2 linked regions of the Mytilus edulis genome follow. The protein of the gene in region 2 binds, or shares a complex with, the protein of the main gene of each other region. Links are inferred from orthologs where the notes say so. Each region holds a gene or a part of one and is shown on either strand. Other genes may lie near its edges. The genes, in order: H/ACA ribonucleoprotein complex subunit 2-like protein and H/ACA ribonucleoprotein complex subunit DKC1-like.

The links.
Region 1: H/ACA ribonucleoprotein complex subunit DKC1-like (region 2) and H/ACA ribonucleoprotein complex subunit 2-like protein share a complex: the UniProt entries of both Drosophila melanogaster proteins name them as parts of the box H/ACA small nucleolar ribonucleoprotein (H/ACA snoRNP) complex. The link is inferred for Mytilus edulis from reciprocal best matches to the Drosophila melanogaster genes Nop60B and NHP2.

What each region holds. Positions count from the first base shown.
Region 1 is NC_092347.1:73,994,823-74,003,100, forward strand, and holds the start of H/ACA ribonucleoprotein complex subunit 2-like protein, read left to right. Parts: upstream 1-4,906; 5' UTR 4,907-4,983; coding exon 4,984-5,152; intron 5,153-6,803; coding exon 6,804-6,873; intron 6,874-7,478; coding exon 7,479-7,584; intron 7,585-8,278. Other genes in the region: ADAM 17-like protease, read right to left, coding at 271-359, 1,062-1,189, 2,061-2,190, 4,741-4,798. UniProt on the Drosophila melanogaster protein: Component of the box H/ACA small nucleolar ribonucleoprotein (H/ACA snoRNP) complex, which catalyzes pseudouridylation of rRNA. This involves the isomerization of uridine such that the ribose is subsequently attached to C5, instead of the normal N1.
Region 2 is NC_092346.1:91,534,536-91,543,271, forward strand, and holds the start of H/ACA ribonucleoprotein complex subunit DKC1-like, read right to left. Parts: upstream 3,683-8,736; 5' UTR 3,584-3,682; coding exon 3,568-3,583; intron 630-3,567; coding exon 598-629; intron 1-597. UniProt on the Drosophila melanogaster protein: Catalytic subunit of the box H/ACA small nucleolar ribonucleoprotein (H/ACA snoRNP) complex, which catalyzes pseudouridylation of rRNA. This involves the isomerization of uridine such that the ribose is subsequently attached to C5, instead of the normal N1.

The sequences.
Region 1 (8,278 bases), on a different chromosome or scaffold from region 2:
TGTGCCATAGTTCTAATCTAGGCTAGGCATATCCCTTATGTTCATACATTTAATGATGTTCAGAGCTGGCAAGTCGAGGAAAGCTGCATTTTAAACTTTGGTTCACAGCTGCTCATACTCTATATCATTATCTATTCTAGCTAAAAATACTAAAAAAAATATTTTATTATAAATTGTATCCCACATATATCAGGATCTTCTAACTGACTTTTTGATCATAAATGGTGAAATTTTGTCTTTCACATTTTCCAGTTTGATTAGGTCTATTACCTCTATGTAAATGGTATCATGGGGATTTCTTATGGTTGCATGTAAATCATTCCTCTCCCAATGTAACTGTACTTCTGACTCTGAATCACCTAAAAAAATCAGTTGAATAATAATTAATCATCAAATCAGCACAAAGCCTGATAGAAAAAAAAAAATCAACACAAAGCATATAGCATGTCATAATTACTCCTGTCAAATAGAGCATTGTGCATAAGCCACCTTGGAATTGTGTTACTCTAAATTGTTTTATGAAATCAGAAAAGCAAAATAATTTTTGTATTTGTTATTCATAAAAATTTGATAACAAAGTTAATCCTTTTCGGAAATAAATGAATGGATAAGAAGATTACAGGTACAAGCAAAATTCTTAACAGCCATTGGCTCTTTGGTTGAGTTGTTTTTCGACACTTTCACTATTTCTACTCTCAATTTTATTATCATACAAAGGATATCTTAAATAGAGTAGATTCAAACTGAATCTTTCACTATGACTCTCAAGTTATACACAGGTAACAGTTTTAAACTGCAGTCTACTATATTTTATTGTTAAATGTTTTTCTTCAAGCAATATTTTCAGTTTTTTAGTTGACATATTTTAGAAAATCAAGGAATCATTAAAATAATCTTCTCTCGTGCAAACATTTACTCAAAGAACGAGAATCATTAAGAATACCTCATTAATAGCCTAATGATAGGTAATGCATGCATGTTTTCTTTAAAACGTACAAGTTAAAAGTCCAAAATTAAACTGTTTACAGTGGGCATATTGGGTACTAGCATCTTCAACTCACCCTTCAAGGTACCAGTATAAAAGTTTCCAGTGTCAATATCAAGTGGTCTCTCCACTCCATTACTGCTTACCACAGCTTTGAAATCATCAGACACAACTTTAGTTTGCTTCACATACAAATGAAAATTTCTGAAGCAAAAAAAAAATTTTTGTTCACCATTTGTACACACGAGTCACAAAAATCAAATGTTCTAAATAATTATTTTGATATATTTCCTTGTTATGATTTTTTTTAAGTTGCAGAGTGATTAGGTATTACGTTATCAGTTTATAGTGATATATATGATTTAAAAATTTAAAACTTCTGAATAATGTATGAAGCCTATCATGAAGAACCTCACTGTAACTCTAAAATACATTGTTTCTAATTTTGTCATGGCAGGGCTTTTATTGGTGACCATACAGTATGGGTCTATGTTGAAGGTTATAAGGTGACCTTAAGTTGTTCACATCAATGTCATTTGGAATTTATTAAATAATTGTCTCATTGGCAATCATAGTCATGATAGTAATAGCATATCACCTTATTCCTTTTTATAAGTGGTACATGTAAGTGTACCAAACTTGAATTTTTCACCTAATGTTTGCGTTATATATTACCATGATTACAGATAGGATATATTATTTCTTTTTACTGCTCACTGAAATTCAATATTTTTTATCTTATTTGTCAGATACCACTTTTGTCTGTATAATTTCTAACATTATTACAAATATTTTTTTTGAGTGTTGTTGTTTTTATTGTCGACATAAATATTTGTTTAGTAAATGAGAAATAAATTGCCATACATTTTATATCAATATAAATGGACAACAGTTCTTGTGGATTGAGTGGGGAAAATGTACTTTTATAGATACTTAATTCAAAGGCTTTGATGAATCTAAAAAATAGTATATTGTAAATTTCAACTCATAAATTTGTGGTTCAGGTTAATCATACACTAAAAAATTAATGACAAATCCACAGACTTTACAACATATGTACAAAACAAAACCATACCTCCCTAAAGATGAGAACCAAATTTCATGCAGGTGAGAACTTGGGTGTGGATCCACACTTCGTCTTACACGCTTATTTATATCAACTGTCTTCAGGGTCTCAAAATAGTCCAAATTACTTGATATATCAGCTGAAAAAGAAGATATAAAGTCCATTCCCAATGTGAGTTTGATTTGAAAAAATTAGGAAAAAAAATCCGAAATTTTAATGTACAAAAATCAAATTTTAACACCTAAAAGAAAATAAAAAGAGGGTGCAATGCCTCAACAATACTCAAGGGCCTGTGAATGGGTGACCAGTTGACTTTTTGTTAAACAGATCATTTAGATATTTCTATATTTTATTTTAAAGTCTAAGTTGACATAAAAGTCAATAATGACACAAGGTAAAATGCTTTTTCTATAATTTCAACTTGTGACTAAAATTGATTTTATCTTATCAAATTATTAAACCCCTTTTTGGTTTTATAAAACGAAGAATAATTGACCAGGGTTTTCAAGAACATGCAGAGCAAATATTTCAGCATCTCCAAAATTAGTTTTTCCAGAGTGTTTACATCATACCTGTCAACTGACCCGGATTCTGCGGGTGTGACCCGAGATTTTCACAATTCTGAGGGATCACCCGGATCACCCGCCGGTAAACTTTACATTAGAATGAACTTGCAGATTGTGTTGATGCTTTAAGAAATAGATCAGATGTAATAAGCATTGGGTATAAGTTTCATAACATTTGGTTGAGGCAACTAAAGTTTAAGAACAGAAACTAAACATTTTGCATTTTTTCCCATTTATAAAGGTGCATAACTCGAGAATGGTTAAAGTGACCCCACCATAATTCAAACTTGATCTGTATTTTGTGGTAATAAGCATTGTGTATAAGTTTAATAATATTTGGTTGAGCGAACTTAAGTTAAAGAACGAAAACTAAAATTTTTGTAATTTTTCCATTTAAAACAGGGTATAACTTCAGAACCATACACCTCATCGTTATTTCTGGCTGAATGGAGAATCTGTCCCATTTGAACTATTGACGTCAAACAACAATTACTTTTCCATTTGCATGTACATGATAGCGCCATAGTACCGGGATATTCCACTCTGGCACCGAAGTCTTTCCCGTACCAGGAAGTATCAGGTTCGTTCACGCCCAATACACTTTCGCACCCTACACGTTATCACCTCGCACTTTCGCACCCAAGGTCCGTTCACACTCTACATGTTTGCGCCCGATTTTTATTCAAATTCCAGTTGAATAATTGGAAAATCATGATTGTTGTTATAAATTGCTTTGGTGTAAATAAAACATTCAAGATTTTAAATGAAAACACAAAAGATAATTGTTTTTAACAGCTTGGTCCCTTTAATCTGAAACAATAAAATAAAGCGATACACTATTATAACCAAAACATGATAAAATTTATTCAACACACACAAAAAAACGTAGTCAGAATCACACTTTATTTTGAAACAAGTCAATGAAACAAAGTTACATGTATAGCAATACACTAACCAAAACATGATTAAGAGTTATTCAACACAAAATAAAACGTTGACAGAATCCCACTTTATTTAGAAAGGATTATTTTTTTTTTTAACAATACACTATCCAAAACATGACTAAGATTTATTCAACACAAAAAAAAATGCTGTCTCACTTTATTTTGAATCAATGACAACAAATATAAGAACACACTTGCCAAAACTTGATTACAAAGATATAGTTATTAAACACAAAACCAATTAAAATTGGGCGCGAACATGTAGGGTGCGAAAGTGAAAGGGGGCGAACATGAGTGGGTGCGAATGTGAATCAGCGCGAAAGGACCTAGATTCGTACTACGATTGAAGAAGAAAAAGGGATATCCTTCCCATTGCATTTGGAGATTTTGAAAGTTGCTTTTTTTATACAGGTTGGGAACAAACCCCCTGTATGGTGATTATACCTCTATAGAGGGATAATCCTTCTATAGAGGGGTAAAATTATCCCTCTATAGAGGGGTATTTTTGTTTAGACTGAATTTAAATCAAAATAGGGCAGAATGGCATTCTCTACTTATTATGGCAGTAACCTGGAACAGTTGATGCACCAATTGATGTACTTAATTAAATATGCACATGCCCAGTTTGATGCTTATCTGACTAAATATAAAATCTATTGTTCACCATGATTGAAAGCTGTGATGATCAGGTAAATTCTACTCACTTATGCCTCACTGAACAGAATTTCTATTGTTAGATTTAAAATGAAATTTAAAGGTCAACTATTCCCTTTGTTGTTGATCAGGTGTTCAAATAGGTTTACAATAGATTGCATGTTTTGTCACTTTAGCAGAAAACTGGTTATCCCAATTTTTAGTAAAGTGCATATGTTGATGCATATAATGCTAGAGATTAGAGCCAATATAACTAGAAAATGCCATTCTGCCCTAATTTGCTTTAAATCCAGTGCAAACAAAAATAACCCTCTATAGAGGGATAATTTTACCCCTCTATAGAAGGATTATTCCTCTATAGAGGTATAATCCCCATACAGGGGGTTTGTTCCCAACCTGTTATAGTTCAATAGTTGGCACCTTTTATATGTGTTATGGAAATTACCAACATGGATAGTTGTTTTTCTGAAAAATCTTCCCTTCAAGATGGAAGAAATGTATTTTGTGTGTATATTCAATAATTACCTCTACTCGAAAATACACAAAAAGAAGAAATAATGATAACCGAAAGTAGTTTTTCCATCACAGCCTATATTATCTGGTACCTTGTATACAATTTTGTGTGGTGTAAAGAAACCAGTTCAAAGTCTGGATCGCCCGTGTGATTTTAGATTGCAGTATTTTCATCAATGTTAAAAGCTATTTTTATCACTTTAGCACGTGGAGGGACCAAAAATACAAAACAAACTCTAAAAAGCACGCTGTGAAATGGGAAAATCAAGCAAAGAAAAACGAAGATCTGAGGTAGAGGATGAAGCAGGGGACGGAGGTGACAGTAAAGAAATATGGCAAGAGAAAATCAAGTACCAGAGTTCTATTTCCCAGCCGTTAGCCCCAAGAAAATTGACAAAAAGAATTTACAAAGCTGTTAAGAAAGGTACATGTACATGTAGCTAAGAATGAGATTGTTTAAATGTTATTCTCTGTTGTTTCTGTGCTTAATGAATGACTTATGTTCATAATAGAGCTTTCTTTAATAAAATATTTTGTAATGCCGACTACTGGTTCATCATAAATTATAAATGGACAAAAGTGGCTGTGTTAGACCTCACAAATTGTCTACCCTTTGAGTACAGACTAAACTGTCCCGTTGGAAAAGACTATCAACTGGCAGTAGATCATACCCGTAGCCCGAAACCCCCCCCCCCCCCTTGAAATCAAATAAGCACTTTTAAAGCCAACGTTTTGTTCAAATTGTGACTTAAAGTCGAGTTCACAAGTCCAATGAACCCCCCCTTGGAAATTCCTGGCTACAGGCCTGTAGATGATAACAATGTTAATATGACCTCACACTCTATTATTATGCAGAAGTTATAAGAGGGGCGGAAAGGGACACAGGCACTTGTTTCTATCCATACGAAGGTCGACTATCCATATCTATTTATATGGATAGTCGACCTTCGTATGGATAGAAACAAGTGCCTGTGGAAAGGGAGGGTATCTGCACGGAAGAACGCAAAATAAAATTGCCATTTCATGACAAGCGAACAATTAAAAATTTCCTGCTCGTTGATCTTTTTAACAAATTTCACAAAACACAGTGAATAATGAACCTTTTTCATGGCTGCACGTGAAATAAAAATGGCAAAACACGTTGCACAAAAATAACCCTTTACCACCCTCTTATAATTGCCCTGTATTACATGGTGGGAAGTTTCCCATGCTGGAATAAAACTTCAACACATCAAAAAAATCTAAAATCACTGGGTTTTCTAAAACAAAATTTAAAAACAACATATCCACACATAAAATCCCAGGCATACCAAGCACTCGTCAGACTCAAACTTGAAAATTCCTGTTCTGTTTGGGACCCTCACACAACCAAGTCTGTATCCAAAATTGAGATGGTCCAACGACGAGCTGCACGGTATGACTGCAATAAATACCATAATACAAGTAGTGTTACAAACATGCTTACGACACTTAACTTACCATCATTAGCAGAACGCAGACCGCATAAGATTGGTAATGATGTACAAAATATAATATCATCTTGTTGCTATTCCATCAGTCATACTCATAAAAGCAGACTCAAGAACAAAAAAAAATGTACACTCTCATATAGGCATATTCTTACATCGAAAGACTCCTACAGACATTCATACTTTCCTTACACAATACCACAGTGGAACCAGCTCCTTGTGGTACTAGTTCAGGCACCATCCATTAATAGCTTCAAAGAACAGCTCACTTCAGCTGTTTTCTGTTCTATTAATTAAAAGTATCAATTTAAATTGTACATAGTTTTAATCACAAATTTAACATTTCATTGCACTTTAATTATATTTCGTTTAAATTAGGGTAAACATGTTGACCACATCTTCCTATATCTATGTAAATAGTCCACGTATGCGAACAGTATGTAATCATCGAAATCAATGAAATATTGTATACCTACAGAAGAAGAAGAAGAAAGTTTATGGAATTTGAAATAGTGAAAATTTTCAGTAAGTTACTAGCTTTAGTTATGTTGCTGTTACAAATCAGTTTGATATGACTATTTCTTTCATGTACTTTTATGTTTTCAGCTTCAAAACAGAAACAATTAAGAAAAGGTGTGAGAGAAGTGCAAAAATTTATTAGAAAAGGAGAAAAGGGGTGAGTACATTTTTGTACATCTGACTTCACAAAAAGTACATGTAGGAAGTTTTTGTTGGACTTGTCAACCAGGAAATGTTAAAATCACTCCTGTTTATCTGACATCACAAAAAGTACAAGTAGGAAATTTTAGGCCACTGCTTACAAAATCATGACTGAGAGCATCACTCATGCAAATACTTTATTATGAATTTTATACCATCTGCTCATCACTCATAGACCACTTATACTCATCATTCATTATATTTATGGCTGTTTACTTCATTGTTTTTATTGTAATAAACAATTTTATTCATATTTTTGTTAAAACAAGGCAATTGTGCCTAACATATATATTACTGAATTCAGGTTAATGTTGTAGAAATCTATTTGTAAGGATATTACCAGAACAAAGGTTATCTGTAAAAAGTAAAGAAACTTGAGAGTTAGCACTCAAATTTAGGCAGTGGGGCAACAGGACATTAATACTTTTAAAAAGTAGGCCTAAGAATGAAGACAAATACTTTTTAAATGACTAATAAGAATTTGTTATTAACTCATACATTCCCTTTAACACAATGGACAACACATATTAACATGACTAATGAGATTTTCTTTTTTACTAGGATTGTTATATTAGCTGGTGATGTAAGCCCAGTTGATGTTATTTGTCACATGCCTTTGGTTTGTGAAGAGGAGGGACTACCATACTGTTACACACCATCAAAAGAGGTATGACTACATTTATGTTGTTGTTTGAAATTTTTAATGCTACAGGTTATGCATCATACCATGATGTATTGGTACATGTCTCTCAAAAAAGAAATTTATCAGTACATGAAAATTCTCTACACTATCTAAAACATTTACCAAATGTAAGACTTGAAATGAAATATTAAAGTTTTTTCCTTTCAAGACGAAGGTTAGACAAAATGATGACAACCGAAACTAGTCAACCGTTGGAAATATAATAACACAGAAACTATGTCAAAAACACAAAACACAAAAAACTTTTTCCAGAAAACAACCACTATCTGACTTTTGGAAGGAATTTAGATTCTACTGGAGGGTAAGCATTTTTATTTGCTTGTACATGTACAACTTCCATACAGAATATTCTGTAAGTGCTTATTCTCTCAGTTTCTTTTAAAAATTGAAATGATACTGGTAAGTGAAAGCAATTTTTAAAAATGAAAAGGTTCTCTCCTGTTACTCCCTCCTGTTACTCCAGCTTCCTCCAGCAGTTAAAACTGACTGCCACAATATAGCTAATTGTGTGGAAAGTGGTGTTAAAGACCACAAATAAATCAATCATTCCTTAAATTCTGGTTTTCATTAGAAAGGTGTATATATATACATGAATATACATTTTTTCATGGATATCACAAAATTTTGAATTGTTTTCTCAACTTTTATGTGATTTATG
Region 2 (8,736 bases):
TTAAAATAACCAATTCAGGGGCAGCAACCCAACAACAGGTTATCCGATTCGTCTGAAAATTTCGGGGAAGATAGATCTTGACCTGATCAACAATTTAACCCCTTGTCAGATTTGCTCTATATGCTTTGGTTTTTGAGTTATAAGCCAAAAACTGCATTTTACCCCCATGTTCTATTTTTAGCCGTGGCGGACATCTTGGTTGGTTGGCAGGGTCACGCTACACATTTTTAAAACTAGATACCCCAATGATGATTGTGGCCAAGTTTGGTTAAATTTGGCCCAGTAGTTTCAGAGGAGAAGATTTTTGTAAAAGTTTACGGACGACGGACGCCAAGTGATGAGAAAAGCTCACTTGACCTTTCAGGTCAGGTGAGCTAAAAATATGTGTGTGTTGGACAACTCTTACGATTCTTGTTCTTTCCAAAGGGTTTTGCAAGTTAAATTAGTGGATATTGAAAAAATTGTTCAAACCATAGTTGCTGTGAAGTTAATTGGGCTAAAACTAACGCTAATGAAATTCTAAGTTAGACCAAGGCCAGGAGACAACTGGTGTACATTGAAGTATAAAAATTCAATCCAAATTTGAATATCACTTACTGCTATACTTTCTTGTTTCTTCTTTTTCTTAGCTGAAAACAAAAAAGAATAACAAAATTAAGGGATTAAAACAAAGTTCAGATAACCTTGGATTAGGTTCCTTCTAACATGTGGTGTCTGTGTAATCAACATGTAAAAAGTATTGTGCAAGCAAAATATATTTTTTACTTTTCAAAAGTGAAGGATTTAGCTATTTAATTTCAAAAAGTAAGTCATGGTAATTTTGGCTGGAATTGTATCTTCAAGAAGCAAACAAACATTTTTTGATATACATGTGTATCCTGTAGTTCAGTACCGTAGGTACTCGCTTATAAGTCGGAAGTTTGGGAGTAAAATTCAGAATCCAGAGAGGGGTACCGACTTATAAGCGAGATCCAGCGACCAGAGAAAAAATCCAAGCTCGAGAAAAGTGGTCAGGAGTGAATTTCCTGGTCAAAACTACGTCATTGATTGCCAAACCTACATAAATCCCTAAATTAAAAGTTTTTGTTGAAAATAAATGACTACAATACTATCTTTGTGTTTTATTTGTTCTCTGTTAACCGTTTTCTGTCAATTTGTGTTGAATTTTCGACTGTTTCCGGTTTGTGTATTGATTTTTATGGTCAAATGGTTTGTGCATAAACCCAAAAGAAAGCCAAGAACCAAAAATGAAAACGAGATAACAATGTACCAACTATGTAAAAGGATGTATTCAGCGGAGTTATTGTGTCATTATTGTGATATCATGATATCAATTTAATACTTATAAATCATACAATAATAAAAAATAATTTTAAGATTCATTCCCAAGATCAAAATATTATTCATTAAAATGTCACAGGTAAACACAAAGATTACAAAATTGATTGGCAAGCCAATATAATCCATTGATAACCCCTAATTAAGAGACAAAGAGTTGTATTCACTAAAGGTGTGAAAAATATCAGTGATAGGTGAACAGATGACACTAATGAGTTGGGATTTATTTTAATATAAAGTTGATTAGCTTCACTTAATTTTTTTTAATCCTTTAATCATCACAATATAATAAGAATTATGAAGTGTACATGCTCCTTTAACACTGAGTTATGTGTGCTGTGAAAAATATTGATTTACTTTAAATTTTTTCAGGTTCATATTGGTTTATGCTCGCTTTTCTCAAACAATAGGTTGTTAGTCATACCCTACAAAATCATTGATGCATTACGTAAACAACACATGGCTAATCTGTAATCAAACAGTGAACAAAACAACAGGAATAAATAAATCTTTATTATTAACAGCTATATAAATTATCATAATCAACATCAACTAAATCCAAACCAAACAAACATTCATGCAGAAAATGAATATAATTCCTGGATTTGCATTGGTTTTACCGGCGTTCAGTAACTGTCAACTGCAAAAAAAATGTCCAAATTTTGTCCGACTTATACGAGGGTCAAGACTAAATCCTCAGAATTTGGAGCTGAAAAGGGCATCCGACTTATAGTCGGATCGACTAATAGGCGAGTATCTACGGTAACTAAACTTCTTTACTTCCAGAAATATTTTGTTTGCTAGAATATTTCAACTTTGAAGAAAACATTCCCTTACGTTCAGTCTTAATGAAATTTAAAACACTATGGAAAGCCAGAAGAACAAAAATCAATTGTCTTAATTCTTTCATCGATTTAAATAATTTATTGTGTAAATGTAATATTATGCTTTATATTTGTCTATTGTCTATTTATATTGTGTGTATGCAATAAGCTGTACTTGCTTACAGAAATTAAGTATTATCATGACAAACTCAGACCAAGTATATATGTATTTTCACATTAGACATTAATTTATTATACCAATCATGGGCTCTTGTCACTTGTACATTATGACAAAAAATGACAAACATGCCAGTGATTTTGCTAGTGCTCGTTATTTATGAAAATATTTTTGGAGTATTCTTATAAGTTGTAGCTGAAGAACCGTAGCTCATAGGTCCTCATGTTATTTTTGACTTTTTGTGGACCGTAGAGCTAAAAAAAATTTCTATTTCAAAATGTTCGGAATTGCGACCCAGGTTCAGGTCGCACTTATTTCCCTCAAAAAATTGTTTATAATCCATGCAAAGCTCGTCAATGAATATAGTTCGTTTCATAGACATTTTTCTAGGACATGACGTACCTATTTATGTTTGAATATTCATTTCTTAACACTATCTAATTTATCCTATTTGTATACATTCTCGCCTATTATATTCATTGACAAGCTTTGCATGGATTATAAACAATATTTTTTGGGGAAATAAGTGCGACCTGGACCTGGGTCGCAATTCCTAACATTTTGAAATAGGAAAAATCGGTAGCTCTATGGTCTGCAAAAAGTCAAATAATAACATAAGGACCTATGAGCTTCAGTTCCGCAGCTATATTAGTTGGTGCAATTGGATTCTGTCCAACTTGTCGGCATAAGACAAGTCAATTATTATTGGACTAGGCAAAATTTCCTTTCGATGTCAAGCTAAATATTTAAAGGCTTCGCCTTAATGATAAAGTAGGAAGACAACATCAAAACAATAGAATAAAATAGCATTACAATTACACAAGAGCTGATACATACAATACAATACAATATTATTATGATAAATAAACTGGCAAAACAATCACTGAATCAGCTGTGTAAAACACAATTTTCAAGCATAAGACATATCAATAGAAAAATGACAATAGCCAGTATTTGATTATCAAAGTAATGACATCAATGTACTTTAACAAATAAATGCAATTAAGCGATTTAAAAAAAAAAAAAATTTGGCACACCACGTGTTCAGGTGTTAGGCATGTAGTTGTGTCCCACTGTTGTTTGTGTTTAAAATGTATTCTGCCAAATATGCAACAGTGCAACGTTAGTATTATGTTTCAATAAGCAAAAACATGATTGACAAATGCTGACAAGGGCATCATCATATTCCTGTGAGATGTAATTAGAAAAAATACAAATTCAAAATACCGCTTGTGTCGGCCATGGTCTGTTTTCAACACGTGTTTGTAATTGTATTTAACGAAAAGTCAAGAGAACAGAGAAGATTATGTAAAGTCAAGAGAACTCCGATGACACAATCTAAGTTAGTTAAGCGTTTCAGTTTATATCCTTTTACATCTCGTTTCATCGATTGTTCAATACATTGATTTACTGAATTGGCGAAAAATTGGAAAATGCCTCAATCAACAAAAAATTCGCAATAGTGCTGGAGGTTTTGGTAGATTTTACTGTACATCTCTCGAGTCTTGAGATTTCAGATTCCTCTTTGGATGCTAAAAGTATAAGGGAGGGGTAAAATATCATCAGTAGCAAGGGGCACTTTTCCCTGTAAGTGTAAGCAAATGTAAACAAACGACATCAAAATAATTTCATGTTTCATATATATTTCCGATGTCACAACGCTTAAACTTAGAGTATTTTTCACAGAAATAGTTCGACGACAGCATTTACATAAATTTACATAAAATAAGGCATCTTACTCAGTGGTAGTGGAAACATATCTGATGTTGGTCCCATTGCCTATGACATACTTGGCATACACCTTATTGCTAATCCCGGCTGACCCGACCGCTTGAACTTTTGACGCATACAACAATAACTTTTCCATTGTGGCGTCAGATATTTTGTTTTATGACGTCAAAATTTTACGGGAACCTGTGGGATATCCAGCAATGGCGGACAAATAGTGATAAGGTGTATTGTAAACAATGAAATGTTCTTCCTGGTTATTCCTTTTGGTAATGAATTATACGAATCCATAGAAAATCGCCCCATGTTTTCACCAACTTGCCCCACTTTCTAAAAAATAGCACTACTCTTGTTTACCAAATCGCCCTTAATATGAAAAAGGGTAAAATCCCATTTAAAATAAGTTGGATTACTTGCCCCACTAATGAAAAGGGTTTAAATCCTGCTGAAATAAGGTCTGCCAACTCGCCCCTCTCATGACAAATAGGTAAACCATAACGAATTTAGTAATGCCAACTTGCCCCACTTATGAAAAAATATGCAATCTCATTGTACATGTATATCTACAATGTATGTTCCTGTCCCACTTATCAATAAAATCAATATCTTTGAAAACCATAGATAAACATGTTTTAGTAGTTTTTTGGTTTTGTTTAAATAAAGCAGAAAGACGTGATTATCAGCATTTCTGTGATGTAAATGCCAACTCGCTCCACTTATGAAAAAGAAAGTAATGCCATTGAATTTTGTCTGCCAACTCACCCCACTTATAGATGAGGGGCCTGATGGGGGGGTCTCATCACGATTCACGAGTTGATTTTTTTGTCAATCACGAGTCACAGAAAATAAATTTCCATGATCACGGATCACGAAAATATAAAAAGAGTATCACCAATCAATCTCGATAATAGAGATTCAGAAGCTGGTTGTTTGGTGCAATTAAGCTACAATCAAATGCATTACTGGCTCATTACTTGTTTACATGTTGAATTCTCCCAGGTTCTAAATTAAATCGTTAAAAACAGTCACATTCTGACTTCTTTTATTGTATAATAATAATATTTCATAGAAATGTTTTACTGGCGTAAATACCACGGAACCACATCTGTGTTTTATCTTGAGGCTAAACTAAGAGATTATAAAGTATATATATTTATTTTGTCAATAAAATTTACTGCTGAGCCTGATTGTTCTCCCACTCCTGCTGGTTGTCCCTTGAAGAAAACTAAGACATTCTGGGGTGTCAATAACATTGTCCGTTTCTTCAGTGTAGTCCACATCTGATTCTGAATCACGAAAACGAAAAATATGTCTCAATCACGAAGAACGAACATAAAATTCCAATGAAAACGATTCACGAACAATGGTTTCATCACGAATCACGAAAAATAAATCTGTAGAAAAACGGATCACGATAGCGAAAATGCGCCGATCACGAAGAACGGAAATAACCCATCAGCCCCCTCATAGATAAAATATGTACAAAAAACTAAGCTACATTTTAAGTTATTCTCCAATAATACGAAAATAACATGTCATAATAAATAATTTATTTACATTTGTACAATTATATATATTTCAATTAAATGAAACATCATTTGATTTCAATATTAATAATTTAATCATTTTTTTTTTATTATTTTTTTTTCATTTAAGTTATCAGACCTGAAAATTATAAATTCATCTAGATTTCACCTGTTTTCATTATAATAGTAATAATAATAAATTCTTTATTTAAAGAGGGTCACTCAATTAGAACTAGTCTTATTTTTCTTATTTTAGGCCCTCAAACAAAATACATGCCAGTGGCGGATCTAGAACTTTTCCTAAGGGGAGGCCCGCTGACTGACCTAGGGGGGCCCGCTCCAGTCATGCTTCAATGATTCCCTATATAATCAACCAAATTTTTCCCACCAAAGGGGGGGCCCAGGCCCCCCTGGATCCGCCTATGCATGCATACAGTTAACATTCATACATTCATACATTAAAATACAATATATATTACTAGTATATACACATTTCAATTATTCAAATAAAATGGTAATAAATGGCAATATTTGATAAAGTTTTGTTAAAGGAAAACAAATTATTTGATTTGCATATAATTTTCAAGAAAATGATTATAACAATGTTTCTTGAATAATTCCACATTACAACATTTTTAAAGCAATTGCTTTTATGCCGTCGCGTATGGCCATCTTTGTGACCCAGATCAGAGACTCCGCCCAGATCAATTTATAGTATTTTGTTAAACAGGCTCCTTGTCAGTCATTCTTTAACACCTATGTATGTTTTCTAATGCAATACATAGCTTGAAACTTAAAAAAAAAGTTAGTGGATTTAAGAAGTTTCAGAATATGTTCTTGTAGATGTATTTTTGTATTTAAAGGGTCAACCGTTTGACTATCAAAGAACATAGAAGTCCGAGTGAAAAAAAGTACATTTTTATATTAAAATGCGATTCCGTTTTCCGCCGTTCGTACGATGTTTCAACAAAATATGGATTCATTTCAGTTGTTGATTTAGTATTGAAAATTTAACTGAATTATCTCCTAATAAATACGTTTTTTTTATGTTTAATTTGTGTTTCTTTAAGAGGTCAGGTGCTCTTGTTCATTCATAAAATTATCGTTCATTCATACATTTATCGTAAAATCAAAATCACTACACAGGTTAATGCGTAGTGTCAAATTATTACCTGTAATCTAAAAATAGACAAACTTTATTTGCGCAAATAATTTAGCGGAACGAAACCCTTGTTGAAAACACATAACAATAAGTTTGTTTTCCTTTTCTGTCGAAACTCCGTAATATTTAACGATCACCTTACTAATGAAATGGACCCGTCCAAACGTAGTAGATGCCAAGTCGGTCCAGATGAAGAGATATTTACAATTTGGAATATTCTAGTTTATTAATACATAAATTGAAAAAAAGTATGTCTTTTTAAATATCATGATCAAAACTGGGTTTGCATAACAAATGTCAGATGAAACCATTATCCTCGTCTTTTCAGTGAACAAGTCTACTACGTTTGTTGACACTCGACGTTCCACCGTGTTAGCAATTTTATCGCTATTTTGTGCATTTTTCCTCTGATCTTTTTTGTGATAATTTTCATATCATGCTACTCGCTTGAGATGGAAAATTATCGCAAGAAACTAAGCAGGCACGTGGCGTTGCTAACGAAATGACATGAAATTGACAACGTCGTCATAGGTAAAATAGCGATAAACAGATTATCATTGGTTATCTCAACTTGATTGCCTTTCTCGCTTTCGCCGTGCCGGCTCAAGCGAGAAAATCAATCTCGTTGAGATGATCAACGATAATCTATAATTATGTTTCCTGAAAATTGATAAATATCAAAGCAACGTAGAGCTGTTTGTTCTTGTTCGTATAATAAAATTGAGAATGGAAATGTGGAATTTGTCAAAGAGACAACAACCCGACCATAGAAAAACATACAACAGCAGAATTAAGGTCACCAACAGGTCTTCAATGCAGCGAAAAATTCCCGCATCCGGAGGCGTCCTTCAGCTGGCCCCTATACAATATATATACTAGTTCAGTGATAACGATTTAATGTCATGTTTGTCTGTGATGACCCCCCTTTTCGGGATTGCATGAGAATTGTAGTTATCTCGTACCCACATGCACTTGTTTCTATCCATAGGAAGGTCGACTATCCATATAAAACTATTTATATGGATAATCGACCTTAAGCTTCCTATGGATAGAAACAAGTGCCTGTGCTCGTACCGCATCAGAAGGACACATATCAACTGAGCAATAATGTTTGGAACTTAGTTTTAAAAATGATGACAAAGTAACATTATGAAAATATTTTTATTAAGCTGAAATATACATTTATTCTTTACATGTTTATGTCTTGTAAGATATTTTATTTCTTTCCCGTTTTTTAACATTTGCGTCTGGAAAGTTGAAATGTTTTAACTTAATCATTTGTGTTAATGGTTAAATATAAATTAATAATGACAATTATTAAAATTAAATCAATAAAGGAAATTATTGTCAAGGAAGTTACAAACACTACCAGGGGATAATCCATGATGATTTCTTTTTGAGTTATATGTTTCAGCACATGTATATTTGACCCCAACTTTAGCCTGGTAAACGTGTTGTCTCCTTGTGAAATATAAAACATATTAAAAATGACTTTCTGCTAAAGTCTTTTATTTATATAAAGTTAAAACCTTCTTACTTTTAACTAGACAACACTCATGTCAGGTTTAATTCTTGTATATATGTGGATGAAAAATAAAAGTCCCCAAACATTAACATGGCAGCAATTGCTTTTACAGCCTTTAAGGCTTTGATTTTATTTGGAGTGGTAAATTATTCCATACTTTGGTTGCAGAATAATTTATAAAAAATTGTATTTGGTCTTGGAACAAAAAGATCATTATTAGAGACAGATTTTAAGTTGTGGTGTTGCACATCATCAATATTTAGCATTGCTAAGTAATCAGGTGTTAGTCTATTTACAATTTTATACATTAAAATTGATTTTTGGTATTTTATTCTTTTGGTAAAAGATAGCCATTTTAAAGATGAAAACATGAAATTAGATGAAATAGAAATATCGCATTCCAGTATAATTCTTGCTACTCTTTTTTGAAGTTTTATGATTCAATCTGAATCTTT